Linked DNA regions of Astyanax mexicanus. Each later gene encodes a partner of the first gene's protein in a complex. Links are inferred from orthologs where the notes say so. Each region holds a gene or a part of one and is shown in the gene's direction. Other genes may lie near its edges.

Region 1 (15,831 bases):
CCAATTCTCCTAATGATCCACTGCTCTGCATTTCAATGTGAGGTCAGTCACGAGGATGGAGGATGCTGCACAGACAGACAGCAGCACTAACTGCGAGACGCTGGCCCCCCTTTCAGTGCGCTCAGATTATCCAATCTGGCTGCATTTGGGAAGAATTTCTCTAAAAATACTGGGCTTTACAATCGCGCTTGGATGGACCTAAGTCCTCTGTGACATTTGCATTCTGCACATGACTGTACATTACAGCAGTCTGTAATACAAGCGTTTACAAATCTAACACAAATCTAGCACTTGCAAAACAGTGGCTTAGTAACTTATAGTGCACACACCTACAGAGATAAAAAACAGTAAAAACCAGCTGTGGCCATCATCGTAGATTTGGGTTAGTTCTATGAAGAGTCACTTTAAAAATTGGAGTTAAAAACGTGTGAGCGTGTGTGTTTGATGCTGGGATTTGTGATCTTAGTGACCTAATTCTAGTAAGTGGGAATGCAGTAATGAAATTCTGAATAGAAAATGAGAAGCAGTGGTTCTTATGGTTATACATTATTGATAAAATTTAGTTTATACTGTCTTTTCAGGCAGTAAAGTTCACAAAGCATAAGCCTAAACCAGTGTGCAAAATGGCACAATTTTGGTCACATTCCAGCTGAAAAACAACATGGCCAGCTCACGAGTGTAAAGCTGGTTTACCACCCTATATTTTGACTAAGGTAGAGGGTATGTTTAAGTTTAATAGTTTATTTGGTCAACAAGTATGATCAACCAAAGCAAGCTAGATACCCAGTATGACCAAGCTTACCCATGCTGGCATTGTTAAGAATGTTTTTGTCTGGATGTCCAGCTTTCATCCACTTAAACTCATAATTACAAAAACATTTATAGCAAGTAGATTTAGCCTAAAATGCCACAAGCTACATCAGCAACTAACTTTTTCTAATTAAAGCTCCTACATTTTCTATACTGTAATTTATACTAGGAAAGATTCTAATTTTTTCTGATATCCTCAATAACACTTGCATTTACTAGTATATTGTAGGCCCATAACCCATGTCACATAACATTGAGGTTTCCTGTACCTGTTAAGCCTAATGTCCTTAAGATACTAAACTTTGCATTTTAGACTATTTGCTTTAAATAGGCTGTAGGTAATGACACACTGATGACAGGAGAGGGGAGTCACACAGACACAAAATTTTTATATTTTCCTTATATAGAAAATAGCAGTTTAAATATTGGATATTAACACAGTAACCACAAAAGAACATAACACTGTGGTTCATTCCCTTTCATTCTATAGAAATTAAGCCAAACAAGTCAAATTTACACCCAGGCTGGAGTCCAGACTGTAAAATGGGCTGTTGCATTGTTATTGGAATAGCCAAAGCTACATATCGCATGACCTGCGGTTGCTTCACTTTTGAGAGATGCTGTGCTGTCCATACTTTTCTACAGTAATTGCTAAAATCCTGAAGTAAGCCAAGCTGTAGTTTATGTTCAGTCTGTGTTTATGCTATAGGTTTAAAGTTATCTGCCAGTTTTATTATTCTTTATGTGCAGTGTGAATACAGCAGCTGTTTCTGTAGACTGAATTACAACCATGAATTTCTTGTGTATAGCACCATCTGCTGGACGTATCTATCAAGCATTCCAGCCTTGTTGTATACTAGTTGTGTTCTGGAGACAGAATAATCAAATTCAACATCAAAGAAACAAAATAACACCTAAAAAATCATATAAACATTTGTAGGCATTAAGTAAACTGCTGAGCACATAGTTGCAGCACTCTTTGCCCTGAGAACACCTACAGTCCAGGCAGTGCTGTGCTAAATTAGGCCTCAAAATATCCAAAGGCAGATCTGTAAGATGTGCAAGGTGCTCTTGAACTAGAAATAGAAAGTATGAAAAGAAGCCTAGAAAAAAATTTTTGTGGGTACGGCCATATGGACCAAGAACATCAAAAGCCTTATATTACATTTTTTAACATCTCTCTCCCTTAGTTGTAGACTACGAGTCCAATATTTTTAAAGCATTAACTAAAGTAGCAATGACAATAACAAAAAATGGTGGATGTTTCTAGTTATGGTGACTGCACGATTTATGATGGAGTATGCATATTACAATCTTTTAGGTAAATTTTCCAGAATTTGTGTGTATTTGTGCAATAAATGATGATGTTGAAGTAAGCGATTTGCAGTTGACTTTGTATTTGTTTGTTTTTCTGTGTTTATCTTTTGTTTCCCCATATGTTTTGAATATTATATGTATTATATATTGTCTTTTGGTATATTTGTGTTTTTATTATATAAAATATTTTTTTATATTTTATTTTTATTTATTTTTTATTCATCTCTCTCTCTCTCTCTCTCTCTCTCTCTCTCTCTCTCTCTCTCTCTCTCTCTCTCTCTCTCTCTCTCTCTGCTGATGTCACGCGCGGGGTCAAAGTTGGCCAGTAGCTATGATGCTTCATAGACAATTCAAACATGGAGTCTATCTTCCACGAAAAAGTGAGCTCTGCTTTTCTTTCCTCAGTTTTTATAAGCTCGTTACCGGCCAGTTTGGGCGCGCTCGGTCCTGTGGTTATTAAGACTGATAGAGCTGAGTTTAGGGAAAGTGTCTGAGTTTATTTTGGCTCCTCTTAGCTCTTTGCTAGGCTGTTAGCTCGCTATCATGCTAAGCTAGCTCGTTAGCTAACTGATAACCAGTCAGCGGATAGGCGGTGTTTTGACCGGTTACAGGGCAGTAGCTAGCGTGTGAGTTAGGGGGTGCTTGTTGGGTTTATTTTTAATTGTGTTCTGATGTTTTCGAGGTTGTATGGGTATAGTATCGCTGTTGGTGTAGCTGAGAATTCAATGTTTGGGAAAAGAAGTTCCGGAAAGCAAAAATCCGGCCCGGGATTTGGGTGTAACCGCCCGGGCGGCTGTGCTGCAGCTGTGCCTTACTGGCGGTTTGAACAAATTCCTGCGGTGGATTTTTAATTCCTGGACCTGGGCTACCCACTGCTACAGATAGTTGTCTAACCAAAATAATTATAACCTAAGTGCGCATAGCTAACTAACTAACTAACTAACTAAATGTATATGATTAACAGCAGTTACTGTCTAAATTATTGACAGTTGGTAAATATTTAGTTCTTACTTTACCTAGCTAAGTTACTGTGATTGCTTATTTTCTGTTTTGTTGGACTAACTAGATTAATTAGCTTTAACTTATTTGGGACTTTAATTTTAAATTCAGGAAATTATGTCAAAAATTTCATATATTATGATATAATATATTTACCATATCATCTAGCTTCATCAGCATGTGACTATGCTGTTCATATAATTCATATCGTTATATTTTATAACAGAAATTAAGAAATGTATCGTAATATACTTTTTGGCCATATTTTCCAGCGCTACTAGAATGGTTGTTTGGAATGTCGTCCACATGTCTATTAGCGGTGGTGGTGTCTGTAAAATAAAGTATGTGTCCTGTTGGCCTGTCACTATAACTATGTTATTGACTTGTCGTACACTATATGGAAATTACATCAATAATTTTTCCAGACCATGTCCAAAGAATTTTCTTAGCAAGAAAAGCAAAATAATGTGAATGAGTTTGTATGTGGACTATGAGACTGTCTAAACATTTTTAAAAAGTAAAAGTCCATTGCTCTTTAAAATGGGATTAGTGCATTAATATGCTACTATATTATCAGTTGCATACAATATAATTTTTTGCTATTATGTTTGGGGTAATATGTCGCCCACAAAAAATATTATGAAATATTGTGAAATCACTAGTGTCCAGCAGTTTATTAGCACCTGCCATATATTTTTCTGAAATCAATGGATTTTTATTTGTATTATTTTTTTTTGTGCCAAAATTATAAAACATTGCTCTAAGGATTTGCTAGGAGATTAATTTTAGCCATAACATTTAATTTAGCCATAAAAATGTATTTTCAATGTTTTTTTTTACTAAGAGTTTACACTACTGTCATCTATTGTTTAATCTAAAAGTCATTGCCTTAAAATATGTGTCTGATATTTTATTATGTGGAAGAAATGTGTAGTTTCTGTCTATTTTCAGAATGTAAAATATGCTAATTCATTGCCTTACAGCAAGAGGGCTCTTTATGTGCCCAGCACTGCCTGAACAACCTACTTCAGGGTGAATACTTCACTCCAGTGGACTTGTCGTCGATTGCACAGCAGCTGGATGAAGAGGAACGGATGAGGATGGCTGAGGGGGGTGTGCTGAGTGAGGAGTACAGGACATTTTTACAGGTGAGTAAAAGTATGATGTTGAGGTCACAGTTAATGTTAATAAGCTATTCAGCAGCTTAACAATGTTTTGGTTGTTTTTCTGTATCCCAGCAACCATCTGGAAACATGGATGACAGCGGGTTCTTTTCCATTCAGGTGAGAATTTTTTGTTATTTAAAATGGTTTGTTATTAATAATAATAACAACTCCCAATGTTTTATTAATGTGCTATTCCATGCCACACTGCTAGATGTCACCAGTGCATTGGAAGTGTTGACATAAGACTATTATTTATAAGCTTAAAAAAAACACATTGATTAATTCAAATGTACAAAAGTCATTTAGCATCAAGTAAAGTTTGTTCAGTTGCTTGTTAAGCTATTTACCTGAAATGTTCTGCATGCTCCAGACTGTCAAGCAAATATCCACAAATATGCATTTAATTCCTGATCTTATAGTGGGTTCAAAATCTGTGTTCTGACGTGACATGGAATAGCATATATTTTAAGGATGTTTATAGAAAATATACTTGTATAAAAAAAATAAAAAAACATTTTTTTCTTTTGTAATTGTAGTTAAACTGCATTTATGTTGCCATTGCAGGTGATAAGTAATGCTTTAGGAGTGTGGGGTTTGGAGCTGATCCTGTTCAACAGCCGGGAGTACCAGCGACTAATGATAGAGCCGGTGTAAGTTTCCTTATGTTTTATGTGTAACTGTTCTCGAATTAGTATTTCTGTTGTAGTTATTTTTAAATGTTTAACTCAAATTTTGTCTTTAATTTTAGAAATGAAAAAGCCTTTATATGTAACTACAAGGAACACTGGTTTACAGTACGAAAGCTGGGCCAGCAGGTAATACCATTAAACAATACCTTAAAGTGTCTGATTATTATTCTACTAAAGAGAAGTAAAATCTTATACATAGCTTGTCCTTCTTTGTAGTGGTTTAATTTGAACTCGCTTTTAACGGGACCAGAACTAATATCAGATACATACCTGGCACTTTTCCTTGCACAGCTACAACAAGAAGGTAAAGTCGTTTTGAGTACCTTTGGAACTGTTCAAGTACATTTAAAGTTAAGAGTTTCCCCTGTATTTAAAGAGAACCTTTACTATGTGTGTGTTCATGTTTTGTCTTTAGGGTATTCCATCTTTGTGATTCGAGGGAACTTGCCTGAATGCGAGGCAGACCAGATTTTGCGAATCATGAGAGTGGAGCAGCAGCACCGACCAAAACTCATTGGAGAGGATGAGGCCCAGACAAGTGCTGGTCAAAGGTATAGATTAATTAGCACTCTCCATTGTGTTCTTAAATGTAACAAACCTAAATTTCATTAACTGTGTTAAAGTGATTATTAATATTATTAAACCAAAATGCGCATCAATTGGCATCAACAATTAACATGTTCATATTAAATTAAATTTTTATGGAATACTTGGTTCTACTGGTTCATTATTATGTAATAGAAGTTTTACAGACATCAACACAATCCTTGGTAATATGACACACACTGTAGGTTTTGGCTTTACATCTACATGAACAAAATTGTCTTTTTTTTTCTCTTGCTCTCCAGACCCTCAGTACAGCAGGGTTTGGAAACTAGGCACGGTATGGAAGAAGGAGTAATAGATGAAGATGAGGAGGAGTTGAGGAAAGCTTTAGCTCTAAGCAGACAGGATATTGAAGTGGAGGATGAAGAGGCTGACCTTCGCAGAGCCATACAGCTCAGTATGCAGGGTATACTATATTTCTGTTTCTATTGTTTATTCTCAGGTGTTTCTTCTTTTACAAACTAAATAAAAACTGCATATTATTGACCTAATCCATTTTACCTTTCACCACTTATTTTTGCCAAGTTGAACCACGAATATTGATATTTTTACCATTTTTACACAAATTGTGTCTACACTGTTGAGCAAAACAGTCTAATATGCTGTTAGTCTTTCACAAGGCTCACCCCAGCTCTCTTGTGGTATCTGATGTTAGTAGATTCTTTAAGTTTTGTTTGGTGGTGGTGCTGCCAAAGACAATTTGGTCTTTGTGAAAGTGACCCAGCTTTTCACACCTGCCCATTTCTCCCTTATTCAACACATTGATTGTAAGAACTTACAATGGGCAGTTTCCCAGACAGCGATTAAGCATAGTTATTCAAAGGAAAATCTCCATTAATGCTGTCTAGTTCAAGTACTACCCATAATGTTTGTGCTTATCAGTGTATATAAGAACATTCCCAGGAAAAATGCCCAGTCAGAGTGAGTGTTCATTTCATACACTTTATATAGCTATTTTAATAAATTTTTGGTTTGCTTGACAGTGATTATTTCCCCTTATTCCAGGAGCTTCAGGGAGCAGCACAATTATTGGTACTAAAGAACCCACACCTACCATAATTCCAAGCACCACAGAAAGTACTGCAGGTGGCGTGTCACAAAGCACTCCAAGTGAAAGCCTCACAGCAGAGGAGCTTCGCAGGAGAAGACAGGCCTATTTTGACAGGCATGAAGCTTAATTCTCACTCTTATTAAGATGAAATGACTGTTGCCTGTAGTTGTGCCTTATTTACCATTGCTATATGCTCTGTTTTGTTTTTAAAATATACTATACAGGCAGTCCCAACAACAGGCTCAGTCAGCCTCTTCACCAGACACAAAACTTACTGGTAGGTCCAAATTATGAATTAGATTTCATTGACAAGGTCTCTAGGTTTATTTACATACTTGACTGAAAAGTATAATGTTTTTTAGCAAGACATGCAAGTGGGATATTTTTTAATTGGAGTAAAACAAAGCAAATAATGTGTAAATAACTTTTTTTTTAATATTCATTCATTTATGCCTTGCTTTTTTTTATTCTCAGGGGGAGAACCGGACGCTGGGCATAAACGCAGCCAGTGAAGACACAGTGACTATGGGGATCTATAGCCAGAGCTCTACAGCAAGCAACTACTAGCTGCCCCGTCCACCTCAAGCAGCTTCCTCCCTCTTTAGACTGCCTCGGGTTTGAACGTCAGGAAGGACCAGATGGCCATTCATCACTAATGCACCACCCTATAGATCCACTCACAAGGCTCTTAAATAGACAGAACTTAAAGAACAGACATTTTCATGGGAAGTAGTACCATGATCTACTGTTTAAAGCAGTGTTCTGAGCACTTCTACTTTACTTTGTAAAGTAAAGTCTGGAGGAAAAGGGAGGGCTCGGTAGCCCAGATCAGTTTTTCTCGCTTAAGTCTGTTATGGCCTTTTTACCACAGCGCCTTTAAATATGCTAATATAATTTTCATAATAATGATCTGTTTGTAGTTCTTCAGATTCATGGTGGAAAAGGAGGTATAGGAGTGGAACAAGTATGCTTATGCTGTGGTGAGTTAATCCTTCTTAGAGAGAGGATGTTTTCATTAATATGTCACCCAGAAAAGAATGATAAGGAGCCTGAAACCCTTATTTGTAGGGTGCAGAGGCTATTAAGGACCACTAGATGTCTGTGTTTATTGGGCACACCATACCCTGTCTTATCTGTTTTTGCCAGGCATAATTTAAGAGGGACCGTGTCCTTGTCAGTCTGACTGGGTAATGCGCTAGGGGGTGCTTTAAAGAGATTGCTTGAGGAAACTCAATACAACCTTTTTCTTGGTGAAGGTTTCACAGATAAGGGTCCAGTATGACCGCTTGAATCTCATTTTGGGGAAAAATGAGCTGAATGAAAAATGTATGTATTGTTGAGTCTTATTCTGCTCTGCACAGCTGAAGTTTAATTTGACTGTCCTAAGACCACAAGGATCACTTGTTAAATGAGAGACCACAGCCGTGAGCAGTATTTACACTGCATGGATTCCTTGCTCTCAGTATAACCCAACAGCTACTGCTGTTTGAACTTCAACAATGTTCCTTAATCTTTCTGTGTGTATATGTGTGTGTGTTTTTTTTGTGAGTGTGTGTGTGTGTGTGTGCATGTGTGTACACACCATGCCCGCATAGATGACGCATCTGTTAAAGGATAACATGCATTGGTTGCTAGTATGTACGCTGGTGTGCCAAAAGTCATGGGACATTAACTAGTATCGTGTTCAATAACTTGCCATGTCTCATGAAAGCACTGCATTGCATGGATCTGTGGGCTATTTCTGTGGAGACTTCTGCACTGAATGTGGATGTTTCTGCCAACAGTTGCTTTTCTGTTTACATGGACAATTCCTGCCAGATGCCGCCAGTCATGTTAATTATGTAATGCCCTATCTATCTGACTCTGATATGATAATTCCTGCTGGCCAGTGTTCAGCCTGATTTACAATATAACACCTCACAATTCATACTGGTGTGTGCATTCTGAAGTCATCCCCTGAGGTAACTGTTCATGATTTTTTTTTCCTCTCCCCATACTGCTGTCCCATGACTTTTGGCCTGTCAATGTAAAGGCATATAAACATTGACAGAGCAGCTAAAATTAGACTGCTTCCTCACTACTTCCAATGCAGTAAAGTAATGGAGTTTTACGGAAAATACAGGTACATCTCACTGAATTTATTAGTGCTGCAAATAAATAGTTGAGGTTAATGTCTGCAGCAGTGGTGCGGGTGATGGTTTTTCAAGCAGTCTCAAAAGTTATGATGCCTATTAATAGGTAGCAAGACAAGATGCTGTTATAGAGATTAAATTATACATCTTTTCACCCCCTTTTTTAATTCATTCTTTTTCTTCCTTACAGAGACTTGATTCATTGTTAAAGCAGATAGTGAGTGCCGAAAGCTTTTTCTTTTAGTACATAATCTTGCTCCCAGCCATCTGCAGTAGATTAAGTGATCATTATGCTCGTGCACCAATACCAACAATTACCTTTGTAGCTACTGATTTTTTACTTTCTGAAATTAAATGATGTTTTTTCCCTGTTGAATGGTGTCCACATTTTATAATTTTGTTCTTTTGAATGATTTCAGTCTTTAGATTTAAGTCTTTTCACTCTGGTTTCACTTACCGTATGTTACTGTCACACAACAGGTCTCTGTCTCTGTTCAAACTAAAATTGAAGAACTCTACAAAAAGGACATACATGGCAACCCATTAGGGGTGGGAATAACTGTATGATACAATATAATGAACTGTTTAGATGAAAGTCTATTTTATAAAGAACAGTGTAAACAGTATAGAGAAACCTGGCTTTGGGCTATTTTCCTGCTAATGTTGAACATAACTTTTGAGCACATTTTCCAAGACTTTCTCATTTTCTCTTAGTTTAAAAACAAAGAGCTGTGCCTTATATTAAATGTTATTAAGACAATTACTCAATCATTCCCTGTGATTTGTTTTGGATTAAACTTGCTGTCTGGACCTCCCCATGTTTAAACATCCAATTGTTAATAGATAATCCTCAGGGCTCACTTGCACTTTGTTTCTCCAAACATCGGGAACAGACCAGACTGAAACACAATCTTTACCTGGTGTTTATTGGTAAGTTATATGGCAAACAATATATGGTGTTTTTATAAACGTCTATAATACATTGCCTCTATTTGTTTCTGAGTTTTTTAGCATATCACTTTAACTGTATTTTAATTAATTGAATTTCCATTTTTGTGTCTTTTTCCCTGTATAAAGACAATTGTTTCTACAGTTTAAAAACTAGTGATCGCTGTACATATCTTTGTATACATTTGGTGCTTAGGTTTAATAAGGCCAACATTTTTTTTATTTTTTATTTTTGGTTGTTTATAGAGAGCCTAAAATACATTTTAGGGAAAACAGCTGCTGATCTTTAGTTTATTAAAACATTTTATCTCTTCAGATCAAACCTTGAAAGAAGATTATCATGACGATGATGGAGTACAGAGTGCTGCTGTTCCTTTTTATTTGTGTTTCCTTTTTCAAGTCTAGCCTCCAGACTCAGGAAACTCCTAACATCACTGATCTGACCTTTAAGAATATAGACTTTGCCATGAACCTTTATCGTAAGATTTCAAGCCAGCACGACAACAACATTTTCTTCTCGCCGCTGAGTGTTTCCACAGCATTCGCCGCACTATCTTTGGCAGCCAGGAACTCCACTCGCAGCCAAATCCTGTCAGGGCTGAATCTGGACACGCTGGAGCAGAATGGGCAGCCTGAGCTCATTCCTCAGCTCTTCCAGCACCTCCAGGGGAACATCACCCATGACGGAGCGCTGAAACTGGACCAGGGAACAGCACTCTTCGTGGACCTGCATTTCCAAATAGAGAGGGCTTTCAGTGATCAGATCAAAAAGTTCTTTGATGCTGATGTCGAAAACGTGGACTTTGGTAAAGCTGACATCAGTAAGGAGACAATTAATAAACATGTGAGGAAGAAAACTGGGGATAAAGTGAAAGAGATAGTGTCCAGCATTGAACCCCTGACTCAGATGATGCTGATCAATACCATTTTTTTTCAGGGTGAGTAATGATGTACCAGCAGACTGAATTGCCTTTGAAATCTTGAGTTTCGTCTTAAGCAAAAAACTGAACCTGTTATTGGTTTCTTATTATGATTTTTTTTCATATCCAGGTGCCTGGGAGAGACCTTTCAACCCAAACAACACTGAAAAAAGTCGCTTTTATATAGACAAATATAATATTGTCCAGGTGCCAATGATGTTTAGTACAGATAAGTTCTACATTGCCAGTGATGACGAGCTCAAGGCTAAGGTGTTGCGTCTGCCCTATTTGGGTGGCGCAGCTATGCTCATTGTCCTTCCTGACAGCAATGTTGATTATACCATCATAGATGATGAAATAAATGCTGAGAGGTTTCTAAACTGGATCAAGAACCTGAAAAAAACGTAAGTTTGAAATGTCAACATTATGCATTTTCATGTTTGTTATTCCCTGCTAAAAATCTGGCAAACAGTCTTAATTCTTGATCAGCATAGGGTATGTTTTTGTTTGAGTTTAGCTAATGTACAGTCTGATTGACAACCATGACTAACATCACAAAGCTGATTGATCATCCCAAGCATTATCAAGTTAATGACAAAATTAATTAACTATAAAAGACAAGCTTAGACAAGCTGAAAATAGCTTCTAATAAAATCAGGTCTTGAGGTTATCATCTGTTAGGTTATTTTCCTAATTCTTATCTTTATTCTTCCAGGATCAATTCAATGAGTTTAAAAAACGATTAATGTAGAAACTTTGTTCAAACTTTCTTCTGTAGGTCTATCTTTTTGCAACTTTCTTGCAACAACGCCATGTATTTTAGCATTTAATTATTTTTTGCAAACACTAGTGTTTCCATCAGGATTTATTACATTGTTTTATTACAATGAAATTATATTTACAAGTAAATTAAATAACTGACATAAATATGCTAAAGCAATACAGCAAAGTTGTTGGATTTTAATATTGCTTTCTTTTGCATTCCTAGAAAACTGGAAGTCTACATACCCAAATTTAAATTGGAACAGTCATATTCTTTGCACAAGATTCTTCCATCCATGGGAATTCAGAATGTCTTCACATACTCGGCTAACCTCAAAGGCATGAGTCAGGAATCTGGTATAAAAGTCTCACAGGTCAGTGTGAATATTTATATGTGACATAGCTGCTTTATTATACTGATTACTGTCTGTATGTCACTGTCATGCAAAACAAAATAAATCTCCAAAACTGCAACTTTACAGACGATTGTAAAAAATATTTTTGCCAAGTCATTATGGTGCATTTTATTAATATGTTTTCAAGAAACTATGACCTCTTATTAAAAGAGAACTGCCAGGTTTGGTCAGCTGCTAAAGGAAATAACAGACCAATGAAGAGGCAGTGATTTAGCATTACAGCAGTGGCATTAATTTCATAGTTGATAATAAAAAACACTGTTGGCCAGGATGATAACGTGTCGCCTACATAGTTCAGTTGGATATAATATATAAAAGTACAGAAACTGTGTACAGTATAATAAACTGTTCTTCACTTATTATTAATTCTTCATGTGTGTTCAGGTTCTGCACAAAGCTGTGATTGAAGTGGACGAGAAAGGCACTGTAGCTGCAGCAGCAACAACCGTGGGAATCACTGCATACTCTATGCCGACTACCTTCACTGTGAACAGGCCTTTCTTCTTCTTTATATACCATGAAGCAACCAACAGTCTGCTCTTCATGGGCAGAGTGATTGACCCCACAAAGTACTGAATCAGCCAGTGCTGCCATCTCATCGTGCCCTGATAAGAATCAGTTATTTTTCAGCTCTGATCATGTTCACTTCTGTCTTCTCTGGGATTAAAACTAATATCCATATTATCTGGTTTCCTTCATTTATCTCTAGGAAGAATTGGAAAGGGAGATACTTGCATATACACTGACCAACAACACTTTAAAACTACTGTGAGATTAAGTAAAGAACACTGGGTGGGATATACATTTTAGGCAGCATGTGAACAGTCAATTATTGAAGTTGGTGTCTTGGAAGCAGGAACAAATTGAACGACTTTGACAAGGACATAAAGAATTTGCTGCTAAGGTTGTTGTGCCAGATACTACATCTCACTTCTGTTGGAGTTGAATGGGTGAGATCTGTTTTTGAAAGCATCAGTACAATGTTTGGCACATAACATAGGAGGTTATAAGGTTATTTTTATTCAGGCTTAAGTGAAAATGTCAGATATTCCTGTATTTATAGTATCATGCAGTTCTCTTCAACTCTGCAGGCAGTCTCTTCCAGTCAAGCCTGTCAATCACTTATTTTTTTCAGGGAAACACTGACTTTCTACAGTAGAGAAGAAGAATATTTTGAATGGATTTTTTTGACAATGTTGGTGCAAGAAACTCCTAGATATTAAAATTAGACACTGGAAACTTTGGTCACAGTTTAGAGGAGAAAATGAGAAACAGACTGTGCAAGTTTTCTACAGTCATTGAATTAAATCATTTTTGAGCATACATGTAATGGAAAAGAGTGTGGTAACTGTTTACTGGAAGAATAGTAAAATATATATAAAAACTGATTTCACATAGTATCACATTAGTACAAAAGAGCCCATGGTGTTGTATCACAGACCATTTAAAATAATTGGAAAGTTCTTTACAGCCCTCTGTCCTTCGCTTTAATTCATTAAGTTCCTAAGTGACATATACGGAACATCTTCAGAGCATCACAGCACAGTGTGTATCTGTGTTCATTCATCTGACCTTACCAACAGAATGGGTTAAAACTAACTAACTCATTTTATATTGAATGTTCCATTCGTTTAACCATTCAAATGGTACTAATTCAATGTACATTACTTAGATTTCTGGAACTAAATGTTACAATACATAATTAATTTATGTACATTACATTACATTAATATATTAACAGTCATGTTCCCACAATCAGAAAAAACACAAATACGCTGCCATTATTATGTAGAAATGGATTGTGTTTAATTAGGGGGAAAAAAGTTATTTAAATAAAATTTGGCAACCTTGATTTACTGTTACACAGCATTGCGCTTTAAGAACTGAAAGAAATATGAGAGTAGGCCAATTTATGGCAGGAAAGTTTAGGTTGTTGACTTTTATTTATTAATTTATTCAAAATCTCCTTCAAGTTATCGTAATCTTACAGTGAGGTTATCTGAGGGCTTAAGTAATTGATATAATCCGAATTTATTTCTACTGATACAATTTGTCTTTTTACCATGTTTAAAAGAAACACTGTTCAATAGAAAACCATAAATCTGGAAAAGGGGGATTTCAGTTCTACTTTAAATGTAGTGGGTTAGCAATATCTGGCAACCCTGTTTTGTCGTCACTGGTGTAATGGCTGCGTCCGCGTGTTGGGCATGTGTGTGAGGAGCTGTGCTTGGACACGAGCAGCGTATTAAACAGGAGGAGAGGATTAATACTGTGAGTACAATTCTCTCTTAAGCTTATCATTAGAAATTTTAATGTTCCCTCTTGTGTTTAATGCAGTAAAGAAGATCATATTTACAGCAGGCTGTGTTTAAGCACTAATACCACGTTGGCAAACACGAGTCTCTCAAACAAGGCTGTCTGTTTTTGAGTTAAATTAGTTTTTAAGTCTAATATTTATCATTATTTGACACTGAACACCGTATATTTCTGTTAACTTCGGTAATTAACCTTTAGTTTAGCCAGAAAGACCTGTTGGGATAAGCTAGCCATGTGTGTTTCTGATACTGAACAGCTGCATTTGCGTTAACTCGTGCATTAGTTAGGTTAGTTAGCTATGTTGGCTAGCTTAGCTAACTAGAGTAATGAAAAAAACCCTACATTTATAAAACAGAAATTTTAGAAGGTGGTATTAAGGGGAAGAAGCTGCAAATAAAAAGAAAACGACTTTTACAGCTCAACAAGCTTGTTGTAACCAGTTCTAGCCAACAAATATACACCAGTGTAACATTTTGGAAATGTAGAGCCAGGTTATGTAACGTTACAGTATACGACAATTTATAATCTTATTATAAAGGGAAAAAAATCAAGTTATCAAATGACACAACTGATGTCTTGACAAACACTCTTAAAAATATTCGTACTATTAACGTTTAATTTCAAATTATATAACCGTAGGAATTTGGAGTACTAGAATGGCACAATTGGGTGATTCTCACGAAAAACAGATTTAAAAGGGTTCACACTTGAAAAATTTCAAAAGGCATTTAAATATAAAATTTCTTTTTGTTATGCAAGACTAGGGTCTGAACTTTTTAGAAATACTTTTTTTTTTTAATTTTATAATTTTTTTCTGTATATTTTGCACCATTTTAGTCAGTCAGAGCACACACATTCTCAGTACCGCAACATGATAACACAGAACAGATATGGTTTAAAAGTTACACATTTGTTACTTTTTAAATAGATATTATTAACAGTTGTGCTCATATGTGTATATAACCCAGAAAATATTATATTTATAAGTTTCCCATTTTTTTTTATTTTATGATTTGTCTCATTACCGCAACAGATTTCATGATTCATGTCCTGTCTTTTCAGGATATTTAACTGAAAAATTACATGTATAATTTCTTATTTAGTACAGATGACCTATGAAGAAATACAATTTATCCAAATACCATTATAAACTAGAATTTGTTTTATAACAGTAAAATAATTAGTAAATAAATATGTGTTGCGGTAAAGAGAATGGTGTTTCGGTAAAGAGAGTCAATGTTTCGGTAAAGAGAGTCATTACAAGGATTCCTACTTAATTAACAATAACACTTTACACAACAAACACAGAGTGTGAATGCTGTGAATAAATAACAAATTCTAATGATGTACTTCTTGAGTTTTGTATGGAGTAGTAATATTGAACAAAATGTGGTATTTGCTGTTGAAAATTATTCTCAGTAAGACTCAAGCTGTGAAAATATCCTATTTTGAACTGTGTATTTTAATAAAACAAATTTCAACATACCTCATTAGACATAAATTCCTTAAAACTTTAAACATCACTGTATAACTAAATTGAAATGGAATGTTTAAATACAAAATAAGTAATTCAACATCTCATAAAACAACTTTTTTATTAAGTATTAATTTCATGACAGATATAAACATCAATGTACAACTAAATTGAAATTAAATATTTAAGTATGAAACAAGCAATTCAACATCTCATTAAACATCT
Region 2 (16,833 bases), on another chromosome or scaffold:
GTGAAAAAGTATTGGCCACCTTACATATTTATTTTCATTTTGCCTTTTTGTCACTTGCATTTTTTAGACTAATACACACATTTAATAATATAATCTGAGAAATTTTAAAACTATTAAAAAATGATTTATTTTATTAAAAGAACCAACATGGCCCTATGTGAAAGTATTGCACTACATAAGTCTTGTATTACATAAGCGTCCGGTCGTGTTGCAAAGATGGTCACAAAGTGAACTGACTTGTCTATAAGGTTTTAGATGAAAGTGTTCTCTTCTGATGTAAATTGTATTGTAATACAAACATTGGATTGATAGCAGCTTACGCTCAGCATGTGTTATTTAAGCATGTTAGTACTAATTCAAAGCAATAAAAGAACTAATTCTGTTTTAAATTCCCCCTCTTTACAACATGTTGGGACTATTATGGGGAGTTCCTGTCTGAGGCACAAGTCACAAGACCATACCCATTTGTTTTTTTGCTCTAGGTACATGCCAACATACCACTGTATAGTATTTTAATGTTCAATGCAGGTTTTATGTGTTGAGATTTTTTTGTTTTCTGCTGTTTCAGCACTGTAGGACTAATAAAGGATTATTTTTTTTCTAGGTGATGATCAGCACTGCTCGCAATCCTTTGTGGTCATTATTGGGGAAAAGAAATGGTTGTTGTTGATGCCTATTGTTGTTAAGAAATGACTTTGAGAAATGATCATAATGTAATTATACAATAAAGCATTTTATTGTTTATACTTATGTATTTTATTTTTTTCCCAATGTTTATAGTGTAAAAAAACTTTCATTAAAGGTCTAAATTTTACATTTAGTCATACTTAAAAATCAACCCAAATTTTGGTTCAGTTAACCCAGCAAAGTAGTTAAAATTACATAGCGTTTGGATTGAATGCTTAACCCAAAATGCATTGTCATATGAATAACCCAATATGCTGGGTCAATTCTACCCAATGCTGTGTTTGTGCAATACTGACCAAGCACTGGGTTGTGAAAACAACCTTATTTGGGTCAATTTCTACCCAGTGTTTTTAGAGTGTGGGAAAGACTGACCAATCACGTCTGGAAATACCTTAGTTAAGACCACGGTGGTCCAAACCAACATAGTTCAGACTTCTGTGGTACCAACAAAGTATGATGGTTTTGGGAAACGTTCGTACTTCAGATGTTAGTTAGTTTAACGATGCAACGTAACACGTTAGTTGAATACTAGGCTCCGACGTTGTACGGGAAACTCACCTCTGGATGTTCACAAAGTTGTGTTTAGATTGACCTTTTCAAAATTTAGATTGACCTTTTCAAAAAGTTTTTTGACCAAACAAGTAAAAAATTTAAACAAAGGAGTGCATGCTCTGACATGACAAGTAATCACACATGTAATTACAAATTACGCACAACGCGCTTGAACCCAAATGATCATAAACAAGATACGTCTTATTATCCGGGATTTACAAGAATTACGAGGGGATGGCGCTAATCTTTCATCAAATAAAATCTAATTGTGTTGGCCGACCTGTCATACTGAATTTTTGCTTCCAAGATCTGTAGATTCCCTCAGTGGTATTAATATACTTCCATGCTAAAAAAATCCAACTCAAGGCCACCTGTTTATCCAGAAAAAGCATACTCTATATGAATCTCGTTAACTAGCTATTGACCAATATAGGGTATGTTTTCTGGATGACCAGCTGGCCTTGAGCTGGTTTTTCAGTTACCTCCACCATAAATTTTGTCTAGAGGTTTTTTTTTGTCAGTTGTGGTGGGATTGGTATCTAGTTCCTGATTGGAGAAGGACTTTGCACGCAAACCTGTCATGTGTTTAAACTAAACAACAACAAAAAAAAAAAACAAGTTGCTTTTTAATTTCCTCCGTTCTCTATTCAGTTGAAGAATCAAACAGTCAAAATGTACACGGACCTTCTAAACTTTCCTATGATACCTCTGTGCTAATGTTAGCTCCAAGGGAATTTAAGCAAAGAGGTTCATGGATCACACAAGTAAGACTGAAGAAACCCTGAACAAAAGATGGTGAAGATGGGGCTGGTGGTGGTGAAAAATCTTCCTTGTTAGAAGATCACTCAGTACCAAAAGTGCCTGTGGATTCTGTACCACTCTCCATATTCTCAGGTTGCTAACATATACTGGTGCATCTCAAAAATATAGAAAATCATTAAAAATGTACTTTATTTCATTGATGTATTAAACACAGAGTGATCTATTTTAAGCATTTATTTATTTTACTGTTGATGATTATCACTTACAACCAATGAAAACCCAAAAATCAGTATGTCAGAAAATTTGAATATTATATTAGACCAATTGGTACTTTTGGCAGTGTGCCAGTCCTGCTGGAAAATTAAATCCATAAATGAAATCCAAGTTGTCAGCAGACGGAAGCATGAAGTGCTGTAAGATTGTCTGGAAAAACACTGAACTAACTTTGGACTTGATAAAACACAGTGAACCAACACCAGCAGATGACATGGCTCTCCAAACCATCACTGACCATCGGTGAATTTGACATTTTATTTGGAAATCAAGGGAGCAGAATCTGGAGGAAGAGTGGAAAGGGACACAGTTCAAGCTGCTTGAGGTCTAATGTGAAGTTTCACAATCTGTCATTATTTGGAGAGACATGTCATCTGCTGGTGTTGGTCCACTGTGTTATATCAAGTTCCAAGTCAGTGCAGTGTTTTCCTGGAAAATCTTACAGCACTTAATACCTCCCTCTGCTGACAATTTTCATAGAGATGCAAATTTCATGTTCCAGTAGGAATTGACACACTGCCCACACTAATATTCTAATTTTCTGAGACACTGATTTTTTTTTTAATAATAATCAACAGTAAAAGAAATAAACTATTAAAATAGATCAATTTGTTTGTAATACATCTATATGAGAGTTTCACATTTTGAACTTTATTACTGAAATAAAGTAACCTTTTAATGATATTCTATTTTTTTTTTTTTTAGATTTACTAGTGTTGAGAATTTAAAGGTTAAAACATTGTCTTATAATCATGGAAACTATCAATTAAGGGTTAAAACATATAACCCTTTAATCATACAAAATTGTATGTTGCCCTATAATCATACAAAATACTTAATGAAAACCCAATCAGTATAATCCATTAGTGATTTTAATAAGGTTTAATCAATATGTTAATCAATCTATATGTTACCTGTATTCAAAATGGAATTATTTAGCACTTTGTAATCTTTATTCATGTTGGTGATCATATGTTAACAGACACAGTACTCTTTAGAATCATATAACAAATGTAGTTTAATTAAGTTTTGCACAAGAATGTTTCACAACACATGTGTAGCCATCTGTGGTTAGTTAGACCTTGAGAGTGAGGGAGGTTGACCCGTCCCCTCAGACCAAATATAAGGAGCTAACTTCTACTGAAATTATGTTGCCAGAACCAGGCGGGAGGACAATAGATTTATTATACTGAAGACGTAGGTGGCAGGCAGGCATGGGGTCATGGCACGATAGGATACAGTTTATGGGACCAAAGGGGCGGGCTGTTCAACCTTCTTCACCCACACCATAGTGGGATGATCTATATAATCTTGTGTATGTCATTTGGTTTTAGAACATTCTCCTTGACTCTCTGAGCGGAGTATTGTTCCCGGAAGATCTTCTGAAATAAACTGTTAAATTTGCTGAAAACTTGGTATCCTGACTCCTCTTGACTTCTCTACTCATCTCAACCATTTAAAAGAATTCAGGGGGAACGCACTGGAAATGGCGCTGTAAAGGGTAGTGCGGTTTTTCCCAACACTAGTATACAGCAATAATGCACATCACTAGGCTTTCTCTCCCTGCCCTACGGTGGCCGAGAAAGCCCAACGCAGTGCAAATTGAAAAGCGCTGCAAAAGCACAAAACACATCCATCAAAATTACAACACAGGCGCTGCAAATAGAAAAACGCGCTGCAAATAGAAAAACGCGCTGCAAATAGAAAAACGCGCTGCAAATACAACCACAACACAACGGAAGTGAGTCACAACACAATGGAATTTTCCTGGGGGACCTTAAAAGATGCTGTACCAGCTAAGCTGCGTCTTCAGTAACGTCTCGGACTTCACTATGTGTACAAAGGACAATAAGTGGCAAACAAGGTGTTTTGTGAAGCAGAACTTTTAATAATATGCACACAACCGTGGTAATCACAGGTAATAAACATAACTTACTTTTCAGAAGCTTGTTTGCCACTTGTCCTTTGTACACAGCTGGTACAGCATCTTTCATGTGTGCTTTTTCAGCGCTTTTCAATTTGCACTGCGTTGGGCTTTCTCGACCACCGTACTGCCCCACCTGAAAATCTATACATCACTGCACTGCGTCTCTCAAACTACCCCTCCTTTGCAGCGTTATTCAAAGTTGAGCCAAGACTTCCATCGCCTGAAAAGTCAGGGCGTTTATTTAGCATTTAAGAAGAAACACATTTTACAGTGAAGGGTTATATGAAGCAATATGTAACCAAACTTTAAAATGTTCCAAGCCAAATAAATAAGCCACAAAAGAAACTGATATAACTGGTAGTGAAGGGCATTTATTTTGGGTCGGTAGCAGTGTACTACCTGTGTCCAACTTAATAAGAGTTTAGTGGACTGGAGCGTTTCTTTCTCTTAGCAATGAATAAAAGATATCAATTATTTTATATACAGAGACACTTATGAAAATAATATGAGTATAAAAATAAAAATATATACATATATTTATATAAAATGTACACAGTCACACACTGAATTCACCTTGTATGAATGTGATTAAACCCAAAAATAAGTATATTCACTGAACAATATGGAAGAGCTCTTTAACCTTTAAAAGTATATTTGTTTTCCAGAGAACAGTCCCTTTAAGTGTTTGTGAAGTAGACAAAAAAAGGGAATTGGAACAGTCCTTGAACAATTCGTACTCCGGGAGAAAAAAATTGAAGGGAAAAAAAAAAACTATTTGGGTACCCAAAAAAATAAAAAAAAATTAAAACTCAATTCCGTATACTTAAGTGATCCAAGAAAGGTTTAGAGCAGATGCGGCCGTCTCACTCTCCCTCACTCTCCGTCTCACTCTCCGCCTCACTCTCTCTCACTCTGCGCGACCCTGAAGCCAGTCTGGAAACTAGCTTGAGCACACCACCAGTCTAGCAGGAGAATCAGTAAACACAAGTTAATAATATGACGGCAGCTGGAGCTAGCTGCAGCTATCAGACCTCTCTCTCCCTCGCCTAATAGTCTGAGCAGAATTTAATCTTATACAGAGAACACTAAATCAATAAGTACACATTAATAAAAATGAAAATACCCAAATACTGTTTTACAATAAGCTTATTAAACAAACATACACTAGAAATACCTCTAGTATTTCGCTTAAAACACTTGAACTAAAAGCTTATATTTAAAGCATATAAAGAGCGATATAAAGTCAATAAAATACATTTAACATTTCACTCAAAACACTTGAATTATATGCTTCTATTTAAAGCATAAGCAGAGCGATTAAAGTTAATAAAACACAACTTAATATGTCACCCAAAACTTCTGGAACTAAATGCTTATATTTAAAGCATATAAAGAGCATTTTAAGTAATTAAAATACACTTAATATTCTACTCAAAACATTTGAGTTGCATGCTTAAAGCATGTAGAGAACATATAATGCACCAATACAGAGCAGATAAACTAGAGTTTCAAGCTTAAACTGAAGCTTGTCTACTTCGGCAGAACTTTTAAACACATTTAGTGCTATTTTTATGAAACAAATAAAACATATAAAGCTCTTCATAATTATGAACTAGGATGCCCTGTAAGCGGACAATGCTCACCTAGCAGGAGAATCAGTAAACACGAGTTAATAATATGACGGCAGCTGGAGCTAGCGGCAGCTATCAGACCTCTCTCTCCCTTCGCGCCTAATCGTCTGAGCCACGTGCTCTCCTGCCTATGCATTCCTATGGGAGCTGCGTGATTTTGCCGTAAAGCAGACAGAACTGACAAAAAGTGTGTAGAGTGTGTGTGAAAACTGCTGCGGTTTTCTTGAAACGGCAGCGCTTAATTAAGGGGCAACCACATTTTACAGTGAATGGTTATATGAAGCAATACATTAATATTTGCGTCAGGATAAAAAAATGAGGAGACCGCAAGACCCTACAGCGGATAGTGCGGACAGCTGAGAAAATCATCGGAGTCTCTCTTCCCTCCATCGCCGAGATCTACACCACACACTGCATCCACAAAGCCACCAGCATTGTGGACGACCCCACCCATCCCTCACACGGACTCTGCAGTCTACAGGAGCATCCGAGCCTCCACTACTAGACTCTGCAACAGCTTCATCCACCAGGCAGTCAGACTTCTCAACGCACAGAGACAGAACTGAACCCCCACCCCACCCACCACTCACCCAACACACTCACACAAAACTAAACTGTACACCCCCCCCTTTACACTCACAAGAACTGAACTTCACCCACACACACACCCAGTCAGCACACAGAGGCTGACATGACTTTATTTGCTGCACTCTTAAAAACTATAAACTCTACCTCAGTAACTGCTGTGATTATATATGTTCTATATGTTACAGTATGTCACACATCTCTGCACCTTATCCCCACTATACACTTATTATACCGTATCGGTACTGCACTGTCCTGTCTTTAAATTGTCTCGTCCTTTGTATTTATTGTTATTTAACGTTATAATTTTATAATTTTATGTTGCACTGTCGTCACTCCTGCACTTTATGTTGTCTATTGCTTGTTGTTCTATGTTGCACCATGGTTCCGGAGGAACGTAATTTCATCACACTGTGTACCTGTACTCAGATGTAATGACAATAAAAGCCTCTTGACTTGACTTGACTTGACTTGACTTGGATTGGTTCCCAAACATCGTGACAGTGTGGCCAACTCCTCAGTAAGGAAAGTAGCTATTGGCTTTCCTAAAAGTCGCTGGAAGTCGCGAAATGACGTCATCGCCTAATTTGCATAATACATGTTTTTGAAGCTGTAAAGGATTAGGGTTGTGGGAGAGAAAAAAGTGAGTAAAAACACCATAAATGTGTTAGAAATGTTACAAATGAACAACTTCTGTTGCTTTTTAAATAGGAGGTCACTTTTTTACAGTAACTTCATTTTTATGTGAATTACATAAATACGTTTTTTGCCATGTTCTTAAATGTTATTATAAGAGCAGCAGTTAGCCGGAACTGTTAGTCTACGTTTTTTGTTTTATTTTATTTTTTAAGTTTTCTTTATTTTTTTAACCTATCATAGACAAATTGTTCAATGGTTCAATAGATATTTAGCTTTGTTTTATTTTATTTATTTTTTTTTAGTTTTGTATTAAGCTTTGTTTTATTTTGTTTTTAATTTTTACGTTTTCTTAAGTTTTCTTTATTTTTAAACCTATCATATACAAATTGTTCAATGGTTCAATAGATATTTAGCTTTATAAAGAGGCAGACACTGTGGAGGAGGTGAGTGACAGGCTATGTGGTGAATGAGGTGAGTGAATGACTGATACTGTGTGAGTTAAATTAAGGGATTTCTGTTCGTGTCACACTGCAGACACATTAATATTAATACTTCTGCTCTGTAAATACAGAGCGGGCTCAGTCAGCGGCGGCTGTGGGCTCGCGCGATTAATTTGCATTGTGTTGGTGGAGCGGTGTGTGTGCTCTTACACTCAGACTGCAGTGTGAGTGGTGTGGGGCGGGGCTGACGGCAGCGCCCGCTGCAGCGCGGAGGACAGTAACTGAAGAGCGCGTGTTCATCTCAGAGTCGCCAAAAGTCTCCAATAACACCACAAAAACTCGCTAGATTTGTCGCTAGTCGCTTTTTTTTTACAAAAAAAAAAAATCGCCAGAGTGTCTGAAAAGTCGCTAAATATAGCGACAAAGTCGCTAAGTTGGCAACACTGCATCGTGTTTGGAGTAAATAACTTTTTTTTTAACAGGCGTCGCGAAAGCTGCCTGAGGGTCCTACCTCAGGACCGACCGCCATATTGGAGGGGACTAGTGCGCCCCCAGTGCATTTATTAGTACTAAGGAAGGCGTATAATACACCTATAATAATCACAACTTTACCAATTGTTACCCGATTTTCACACGTCTTGGTTTGTTACAAACGTCACAGATGTAGTAATGATACAGGACGCTGTTACACATTACAAGTATGTGCGTTCATGCTGAAATATTTTGTATTGTGCTCTTTTACAAAAACAGATGTATGGTATGTCATATTAACCTGTATAAATAAATTTATTTATACAGGTTAATATTAAGTGTTATATTATCGCTGTCACACATTACAAATACCTGCTACTGCATTATTTAAATTCAAGCTGACCTGATGTGTGTGTGTGTATATATATATACACACACACACATCAGGTCAGCTTGAATTTAAATAGCATAATGCAGTAGCAGGTATTTGTAATGTGTGACAGCGATCTATATTATAACTACATCTTTGCTGATTGTAACAAACCAAACCGTGTAAAAATTGGGAAAATGGTTGACTTGTAATATTGTATTATGTATTATACACCTCCTTAAGTACTAATAAATGCACTGAAGGCGCATTGGCCCCTCCAATATGGCGGCCGTCTGAGAACGCAAGGAGGCAGGCTAAGCGGATTGGACACCACAGTGGTGTGCAGCGCTCTGGATATTTCAAGGGCTCCCTCTAATGGAGGAGAAAATAATAACTACTGACACAGTGAGTGAGGACAGAGAGGGTATACTGCAGTTACGTCCTGAAATAGTGGATCAATATACACGGGAAATCATTTTACAAGCGATCACACATCCCAAGATACAGAGCAGAAAGGTTGAGAACTTTGCAAGATAACCCGCGTTAAATCACGCATCTCTCTGAGAAGGTGAGTAGACCTAGTAGTTGCGCTGCAAAGAACATGCGACTAAAGGGCCTCCCCTGCCTAAATAGCACAAACGGTGGTTTTGTAGTTCGATATCTAAACCTAAAATCTAGCTTAAGTGTGGACGCAACACAACGGAAACTGGCACTGCGAATATCCGCGAAATGTTGAATATCGCTCTTTAAAATATACTGCATACAAGTATCCTGTGCTTTAATATCGTATTATAATGTATAAATTACCCCGAAAAAGCATACCCACTGTTGGTCCACTACCATTATGTTTTACATTATCCTTATTTACTTCCTGTTGACTTCGTTTATTGTAAGACTTTGTTATAATTTAGTAATATTATAATAACACGGTGTTATAATATCTCTGACAGTTAATTGACTGTGGAATATTTAGTAGTGAGGAAATTTCACGACTTGATGCACAGGTACTGCATCCTATCACGGTACCACGCTGGAATTCATGGAGTTCATGAGAGCGACCCATTCTTTTACTAATGTTTGTAGAAGCAGTCTGAATGACTAACCGCTAGGGTTAATACACCTGTAAACATGGCAGTGATTGGAGTTCAATTAATAATTTAATTATATAACAAGTCTACGGAGAAGTATAAACGTAACATGGACCACCCTATTGAAACCGCCTGGCTAATAATTTGAGGTAGGCTTGTCAACTACAATACATTGCCAGTTATTACAATACTGTGTTTCTGCGATATTGTAAGACAATTATCAGAACATCATGATCACATCTGCACTGAGCTTCGTTGACATTACAGTGGCAACAAATGCATTTGTCTGCTGCTTTGTTTGCATGAGTGTGATCACGTGACTGGATCAGCCAGAGAAAAGGCGCGTGGGGTGGGGGGTGAGTTGTTGGGGGGTTTGGGTGTGCGTAACATACATAATAATTGATGAATGAAGTTTTTTAGTTTAATTGTCAATAAATATTCATGCCATTTTAATAAATACAAAATAATTTTCAGCCTAACAAAAATCTGTTTATGTTTATTGCTTACATTAAGACATATTTCAACTAGGATAAAAAGAACAGCTATCCGGCACGTATGACTTAGTCATTTTTAATCAAATAGCGAATGTTGCATCAAACTTTCAAAAAATCTAAATTAGCCTTGAATTGGACACATGGACTAAACAAACTGAACATGTAAATAAGCGTAAGCTCTTTCTTCAGTATCATTAGGCTGCAGTATCAGTGTCAGACATAAAAAAAATGCTAAAACTATTTTGCCTATTTTGTTATGTAATGTTTTCTTAAAAGAAAAAGAAAGAAAAAGACTATATTGAACTCCTGTCATCCTTCCAACTTGGTCTCTGATGTAGAGATGTCCTTAGCTTAGACGTGCTTTTTATTACATTGAAATGTGATGTAAATACTGGAGGAAGGATTTAGCTTTTTTCCAAAAAGAATTGTGTCCCGTTTTCATCATTCTATAGTAATAAATGGTCAGAAAATGAAGATCTCTAATATGATGAAGCTTTAAAAAACATCACACACAGTTAATTACTTATATGCTCAATCTGTTGTTACTAACACTGTATTGGTAAATTAAATGCTTTACTTTACACTGTAAACTTAATAAGGAGTTAAGAGTCACATTCTACCTCTTAGGACTAAACAGAACGTGTTAATAAGCATGAGCTATTTCTCACTTAATGGTTAGCTAAATCTACTGATGTTTATCTTTTTAATAGTGTTAAACATAATCTCACAATTATTTCTAAATACCACAACCAGAATGACAAAAATATGGAATGTTTACCTGGTCCCTTGTTTTCTTGTCGAAAGCTCCCTGTGCTTGGATTTCCCTGTAGTTCTGTTCCTTTTTTTTTTTTTTTTTTTTTTTTTTTACATATTCTCTGTTTCTAATCTGCATGTGTCTCACCCATGTCTGGCATTCATTACAGTAAGATTGACTATGTGCTGACTAATGGTAATATTTTACAGCTGAAGCAATCTGCTGATATATGAGTATAACCGGATATTGGAATATTCTGAATTGAATTGAGAATGACCCATAAATTCCAATTCAATTCTTGAATATTAACATGAATTTCAGTTCAAATTCAAATTGCAGGAAGTAGAATTAAAATTACATGGAAGTAATCAAATGAACAACTCAGATGTCTGTATTTTCTTTAAACAGAGGCATTACATCAATACTAAATAATACACAATTAAAATATACACACAATTAAAATGTATTTAACAATGAAGTTTTACAGCATATATTACCTCATGAATTTTTTACAGATATTATTATATGGACTACAAATTAACATTAAAAACATACTCTGTAAAACAGTTTATTAAAAACGTTCTCATTGTGGAAAAAATACAACAATTCCCAAATTACCTAAACCCAAGTCTTCATTGTTGTCCAAACATTTAGGCCATTCGAGGAACTGTTGATCTTTGGAAGCAACAACAGTGTTGTGGTTCTGCTATAGCTCTGGTATAGCTTTATATGAGAGGCATTTCACATGGTTCAAACACCCCCTTGTGGCTTTAACAAGTACTGGCATAGCATCTGAGTTCATGCCTGTGATTCAAGCCAATCACTTTAGTTAACCATTCAGCAGAGCAGTCATGGTTTCCTTTGGGCAAATCTTGGCCCACACATGCACATAAAAAAAGCTGCAAAATGTTTGAATTTGAAGCTACCTGTATTAGCCTCTATTCTAATGGGTGTAGCTCTGGAAAGATGTAGATGAATCTACAGCTGTGTGTTCAGGTATCTTGAAACAGTTAATATTGTAGAAGCTGACTCAGTATCTTAAGTATATTTAGTGGTTTAGTATTGATGTAATGCCTCTGTTTAAAGAAAATAAAGACTTTTGAGTTGTTCATTTGATTACTTTCAAAGGAAGATATTACTAATTATTCAACAAGAAGGGAATTCATTTTGTGAGCCCTTTTTCTCCAAATATATCTTTGCTCATTGCAGCCAAAAAGTTTTATTTTAAACTGATCGGCCCCCAGGATTTGTTAAAAAATTATTAGGGCTTTAGGGTTTAGATGTCTTTTGCAAACTTCTGAAGCTGAGTATTTCTTTTGCTGACTCTTGCATATAGGTCATATTTCTGCAGGTGTCGCTGAACAATGAAATTGTACAAAATTAAAATAATACACTGATATTGCTTCAAATGTTCAAAAGTGTTTCATCTTTAGATTTATGCCTTTTGGGGTAATTTTATTTTTAACTTTAAGAGTAAGTTTGACCAGGGGTGCCCAAAGCAAATAGTGTCTCAAACTACAAACTTCTGAACTTTACTTCAATAATAGATTTACAATTGGACTGCTAATGCATAAGCTTAAAACCATGCTGTATTACATAGTGTAAAAATTTTGTTATTTTATAAAATTACATTGTTTTCAGTTACTATGATTTAGTTCTTCTAGATTTATTTATTTTTTTTTCATAATATATCTAAGTAGTGTACATTTTTTATATAAAAAGGTAATCACTGTGTTATAGCTTGTTTTTAATGCCATTTTAAAATTCAATAACAGGAGTACACAGACTACCAGCTAACTCGAAGGGATTCAGTACAATGGGCTGCCTGGTTACAGCAGTTTTAATCACTTTTCTGCTGGGCTGTGTGACTGCTAGACTGGGCATCAACAGAGGTAAAGCCTTTTTTTTTTCTTTTTTAAATCTGCATAAATCAGAATGCTTGGTCACAATTTATGTATATATATATATATTTTAATGTTTTCAGTTGAACAAAAGTTGATTATTTTGTGAGTTATGTTTACTTTTTTCTTTTAGCAAACTAGCTGTTTACTACTACTATCTACTGTCTTACATTAATGTATGATATTTGGTAGTTTGATATCCTAATTTATAAAACACAAATATATATATATATATATATATATATATATATATATATATATATATATATATATGTTTATTACATGTTTATTCTTAAAGAAGAACTGGAAATGGACTTTTGTTGTAGTAAAACATGATAAAAAGTACCTACATTTGATGAATGACACATCTCCGTTCTCCCACAGCTTTCCGAGATCCAGAAATTTTAACAGTTTGTACAAAAACCCTTCAGATTGGGTGACACGTGGCATAATTTGACCCGATAAATCGCTTTTTCTATTGTTATCCAGCTCATATTAGCTCCACACCTTCTTGCTAAAATCCGGAGAGCCCTGACATTTAAAACGAGGTATTTAAAACGTAAAAAGTGCATGAGAAGCTTATTAAAAACCACTATTTACATCCTATAACGCGAGCTTTAGCTCAGAGCGCCGCCATTACTCTTGGTGCTGGCTGCTGCACTATACGGAGTCTATGTAGAGTCCATGCTTTACTACACCAAAAGTCCATTTTACACCAGAGTTCTCCTTTAAATTACTTCTCCTCACATTCAAACTATCAGTATTCAGCATTGTTCATATAATTAATTTCTAATGTTGCTTATATAAAAAAAACACAGTTTACGCTTGTTAAACTTGTATAAGAGTAGTTACAGTAATATGTCTTTAGTTGTAGTTTGTAATTCAAGTAAAGAACTAAAGTGACAAATATTTTTTGTCAATTTCCTGATTCTTGGAATAATTTGTTTAGGAAGCTGTACTGTATATTGTGTTTCAGTTCCAGTGTTCCTTGAACAGAAGGAGGCCAGTGAAGTTATATATCGTCAGAAGAGAGCCAATGCAGGACAGGAGGAGAATACACTCCCTGCCAGTCTTGAGAGGGAATGTCTGGAGGAGGTCTGTAATTATGAAGAAGCAAGAGAGGTGTTTCAGGACACTTATCGCACTGTGAGTCCCTCACCTTCAATTTAATACTTCATAAAACACAGGGTGCAAATTAATGGTAGGTAAAATGTAAGGCTAATATCATGGCTACGCAGATTCAAGTATTCTTTGGGTAACTATATGTCTTGTTTTGCCTTAGAAATGTGATCTGCACGTTCTGACAGCTGACTGGCATTTTTCAAGATTTACTTATATTAAATATTCTTATCAAATATTCTTATCAGATTCTTTTTTTGTTATAACTGCTTTTTTTTTAAGTTGTTTGCCAGTGCCTGTGAAAACACTGTTTTTGAATCATGTACCACTACCAGTTAGCATACATGTAATTTACTTTTTCTCTTTTTTTAGGATATATTCTGGTCTGTGTACATTGGTAAGTAGCATTTTTAGTGCTTTTAGGCAGATTACTTAATAAAAATGAGGAATTGTTATATCTGTTTTATTCATTATGCATGTTTATTCTTATAGTTTCTACCAATATAAGGAACTACAGTGCCTTGCAAAAGTATTCACCCCCTTGGATTATTTCCCTATTTTACTACATTACAACCTGTAATGTATGTATTATTTTTATCTGAATTGAATGTGATGCATCTGCACACAATAGTCTACGTTTTAGAAGTGAAATGAGAAAATAAATATATATATGTATATAAAGAAAATATGAAAATAAAAAACTGAAAATTGGCATGTGCATATGTATTCACCCCCATTGTTCAGAAGTCACATGCTTAATGAAATGAAGGCCACCTGTGTGCAATCTAAGTGTCACATGATCTGTCAGTATATACACACCTTTTCTGAAAGGCCCCAGAGGCTGCAACACCATTAAGCTAACCAAACAACACCATGAAGACCAAGGAGCTCTCCAAGCAAGTCAGGGATAAAGTTGTAGAGAAGTATAAGTCAGGGTTGGGTTATAAAAAATATCCAAATCTCTGATGATCCCCCGGAGCACCATCAAATCCATCATCATCAAATGGAAAGAACATGGTACCACAACAAACCTGCCAAGAGAGGGCCGCCCACCAAAACTCTCAGCCCGGTCAAGGAGGGCATTAATCAGAGAGGCAGCACAGAGACCAAAGGTAACCCTGAAGGAGCTGCAGAGTTCCCAAGCAGAGACTGGAATATCTGTTCAAGACCACAATAAGCCGTACACTCCATAGAGTTGGGCTTTAATGGAAGAGTGGCCAGAAAAAAAACTTTACTTACAGGCAAAAATAGGAAGGCTCGTTTCGAGTTTGCAAAAAGGCCTGTGGGAGACTCCCAAACTGTATGGAGGAAGGTACTGTGGTCAGATGAGACCAAAATTGAACTTTTTGGCCACCAAGGAAAACGCTATGTCTGGCGCAAACCCAACACATCTCATCACCCCAAGAACACCATCCCCACAGTGAAACATGGTGGTGGAAGCATCATGCTGTGGGGATGTTTTTCAGCAGCAGGGAGTGGAAAACTGGTCAGAGTGGAGGGGAAGACGGATGGTGCTAAATACAGGGATATTCTTGAGCAAAACCTGTTTACGTCTGTCAGTGATTTGAGACTAGGGCGGAGATTTACCTTCCAACAGGACAATGATCCAAAGCATACTGCTAAAGCAACACTTGAGTGGTTCAAGAGGAAACGTGTAAACATATTGGAATGGCCTAGTCAAAGCCCAGACCTTAATCCAATTGAGAATCTGTGGTCAGACTTGAAGATTGCTGTTCACCAACGGAAACCATCTAACTTGAAGGAGCTGGAGCAGTTTTGCCATGAGGAATGGGCAAAAATTTCAGTGGCAAGATGTGGCAAGCTCATAGAGACTTATCCAAAGCGACTTGCAGCTGTAATTGCTGCAAAAGGTGGCTCTACAAAGTACTGACTTACGGGGGTGAATAGTTATGCACACTGATGTTTTCAGTTATTTTGTCCTATTTGTTGTTTGCTTCACAATAAAAAAAAAGTTAAATGTTGAAAGTTGTATGCATGGTCTGTAAATTAAATGATGCAGACCCTCAAATATTCCCTTTGAATTCCAGGTTGTGAGGTAACAAAATGTGAAAAATGTAAAGGGGGTGAATACTTTCGCAAGGCACTGTATGTAAGCTCATATTTAGATGTTAATTGTTCATACTTTTTAGTGTCTGTTCTCAGCTTTATGCCAAAGGTGTTTTTCTTTTTTCTTCAAGCTTATTGGACAGTTTACTAAAATTAAATAGCAATACTAGGTAGGCCTCTTGCATTCCGTTTAGGTTCAGGTCCATGTCTAAATGATGCATCACACAATTTGTGAAGCTATTTCAGTTTTTTTGTATTTACACTGGTGCTTGCAGTTTGTGAACCCTGTAGAATTGTCTGCATATATTATCTAAAACATCATCAGATCCTCACAAAAGTAGATAAAGAGAACTCAGTCAAACAAGTATAATTGAGGACAATGATTCAGTATTGCATATTTGTAAGTGGCAAAAAGTATGTGAACCTCTTGGATTAGTTAGTTTGAATGTGTAAATAGTTTTGTTCAATCAATGGTATGAAAATAAGGAAAGATTCAATTGGGTAATTTTGTAAATAAATAATTGAACTAAACTACTGTTAATAAAATATGAGCTTCATACATATATATATATTAGGGTTGTCACAATACCAAAATTTTGACTTCGATACCGATACCAACTGTAGTATCACGATTCTCGATACCAAAACGATACTTGGAAGAAAAAAAACAATAAAAATATCTGAACATAAAATGTTTATTTTTGACTGAACTGGATTGAACACTGAACAATCGGTGCAAAGGTTTTTATTCTAAAATGAAACATTTGTACAAAAAACAAGTTTCGTTATTATAACCTTAACTATAACATAATTATCTAAACACTTCCTAAAAACTAAAACTAGAACCAGAGGTAATGGTAGCCTGACTATGTGAACCTGACGGGCGGGCAGAAGTTAAGTTCTGAATAAGGAAAATAAAGAGACAGAAGAACATTACAATGTAATGTTCATTTTAACACTCACTGCTCCGTTTTATTAATCAACCGTTTACCGTTTTTAATAAGCCCATGTTCAGTGTAACGATCAAGCAGGTTATGTGCCTGACCACAGATTTGCGATGGAAACGCGAAAAC

Evidence for each region.
Region 2: the proteins of serpina10b (region 1) and proza are in contact, whole or in part, in a crystal structure (PDB 3H5C), measured with the Homo sapiens proteins. The link is inferred for Astyanax mexicanus from reciprocal best matches to the Homo sapiens genes SERPINA10 and PROZ. Residues at the interface, in NP_001094077.1 of Homo sapiens: Arg88, Lys89, Ser91, Met92, His94, Asp95, His257, Asp259, Lys260, Tyr261, Asn282, Phe283, Lys305, Met306, Asp308, His309, Leu310, Ala311, Leu312, Asp314, Tyr315, Leu316; in NP_003882.1 of Homo sapiens: Cys129, Pro131, Cys141, Leu142, Pro143, Ser151, His250, Met251, Arg252, Asp254, Ala257, Glu259, Asn260, Glu284, Lys285, Asp286, Phe287, His290, Leu291, Thr336, Thr337, Arg338, Arg390, Ser392, Leu393, Trp394, Gln397.

What each region holds. Positions count from the first base shown.
Region 1 is NC_064421.1:14,478,281-14,494,111, reverse strand, and holds serpina10b (protein Z-dependent protease inhibitor), read left to right. Parts: upstream 1-9,596; 5' UTR 9,597-9,700; intron 9,701-10,034; 5' UTR 10,035-10,058; coding exon 10,059-10,656; intron 10,657-10,768; coding exon 10,769-11,042; intron 11,043-11,626; coding exon 11,627-11,774; intron 11,775-12,200; coding exon 12,201-12,392; 3' UTR 12,393-12,500; downstream 12,501-15,831. Other genes in the region: atxn3 (ataxin-3), read left to right, coding at 2,484-2,507, 4,110-4,274, 4,365-4,409, 4,857-4,942, 5,041-5,107, 5,198-5,285, 5,397-5,532, 5,830-5,993 and 3 more. UniProt on the Homo sapiens protein: Inhibits activity of the coagulation protease factor Xa in the presence of PROZ, calcium and phospholipids. Also inhibits factor XIa in the absence of cofactors.
Region 2 is NC_064426.1:12,401,969-12,418,801, forward strand, and holds the start of proza (protein Z, vitamin K-dependent plasma glycoprotein a), read left to right. Parts: upstream 1-8,699; 5' UTR 8,700-8,905; intron 8,906-12,448; 5' UTR 12,449-12,489; coding exon 12,490-12,565; intron 12,566-13,550; coding exon 13,551-13,720; intron 13,721-14,065; coding exon 14,066-14,090; intron 14,091-16,833. UniProt on the Homo sapiens protein: Appears to assist hemostasis by binding thrombin and promoting its association with phospholipid vesicles. Inhibits activity of the coagulation protease factor Xa in the presence of SERPINA10, calcium and phospholipids.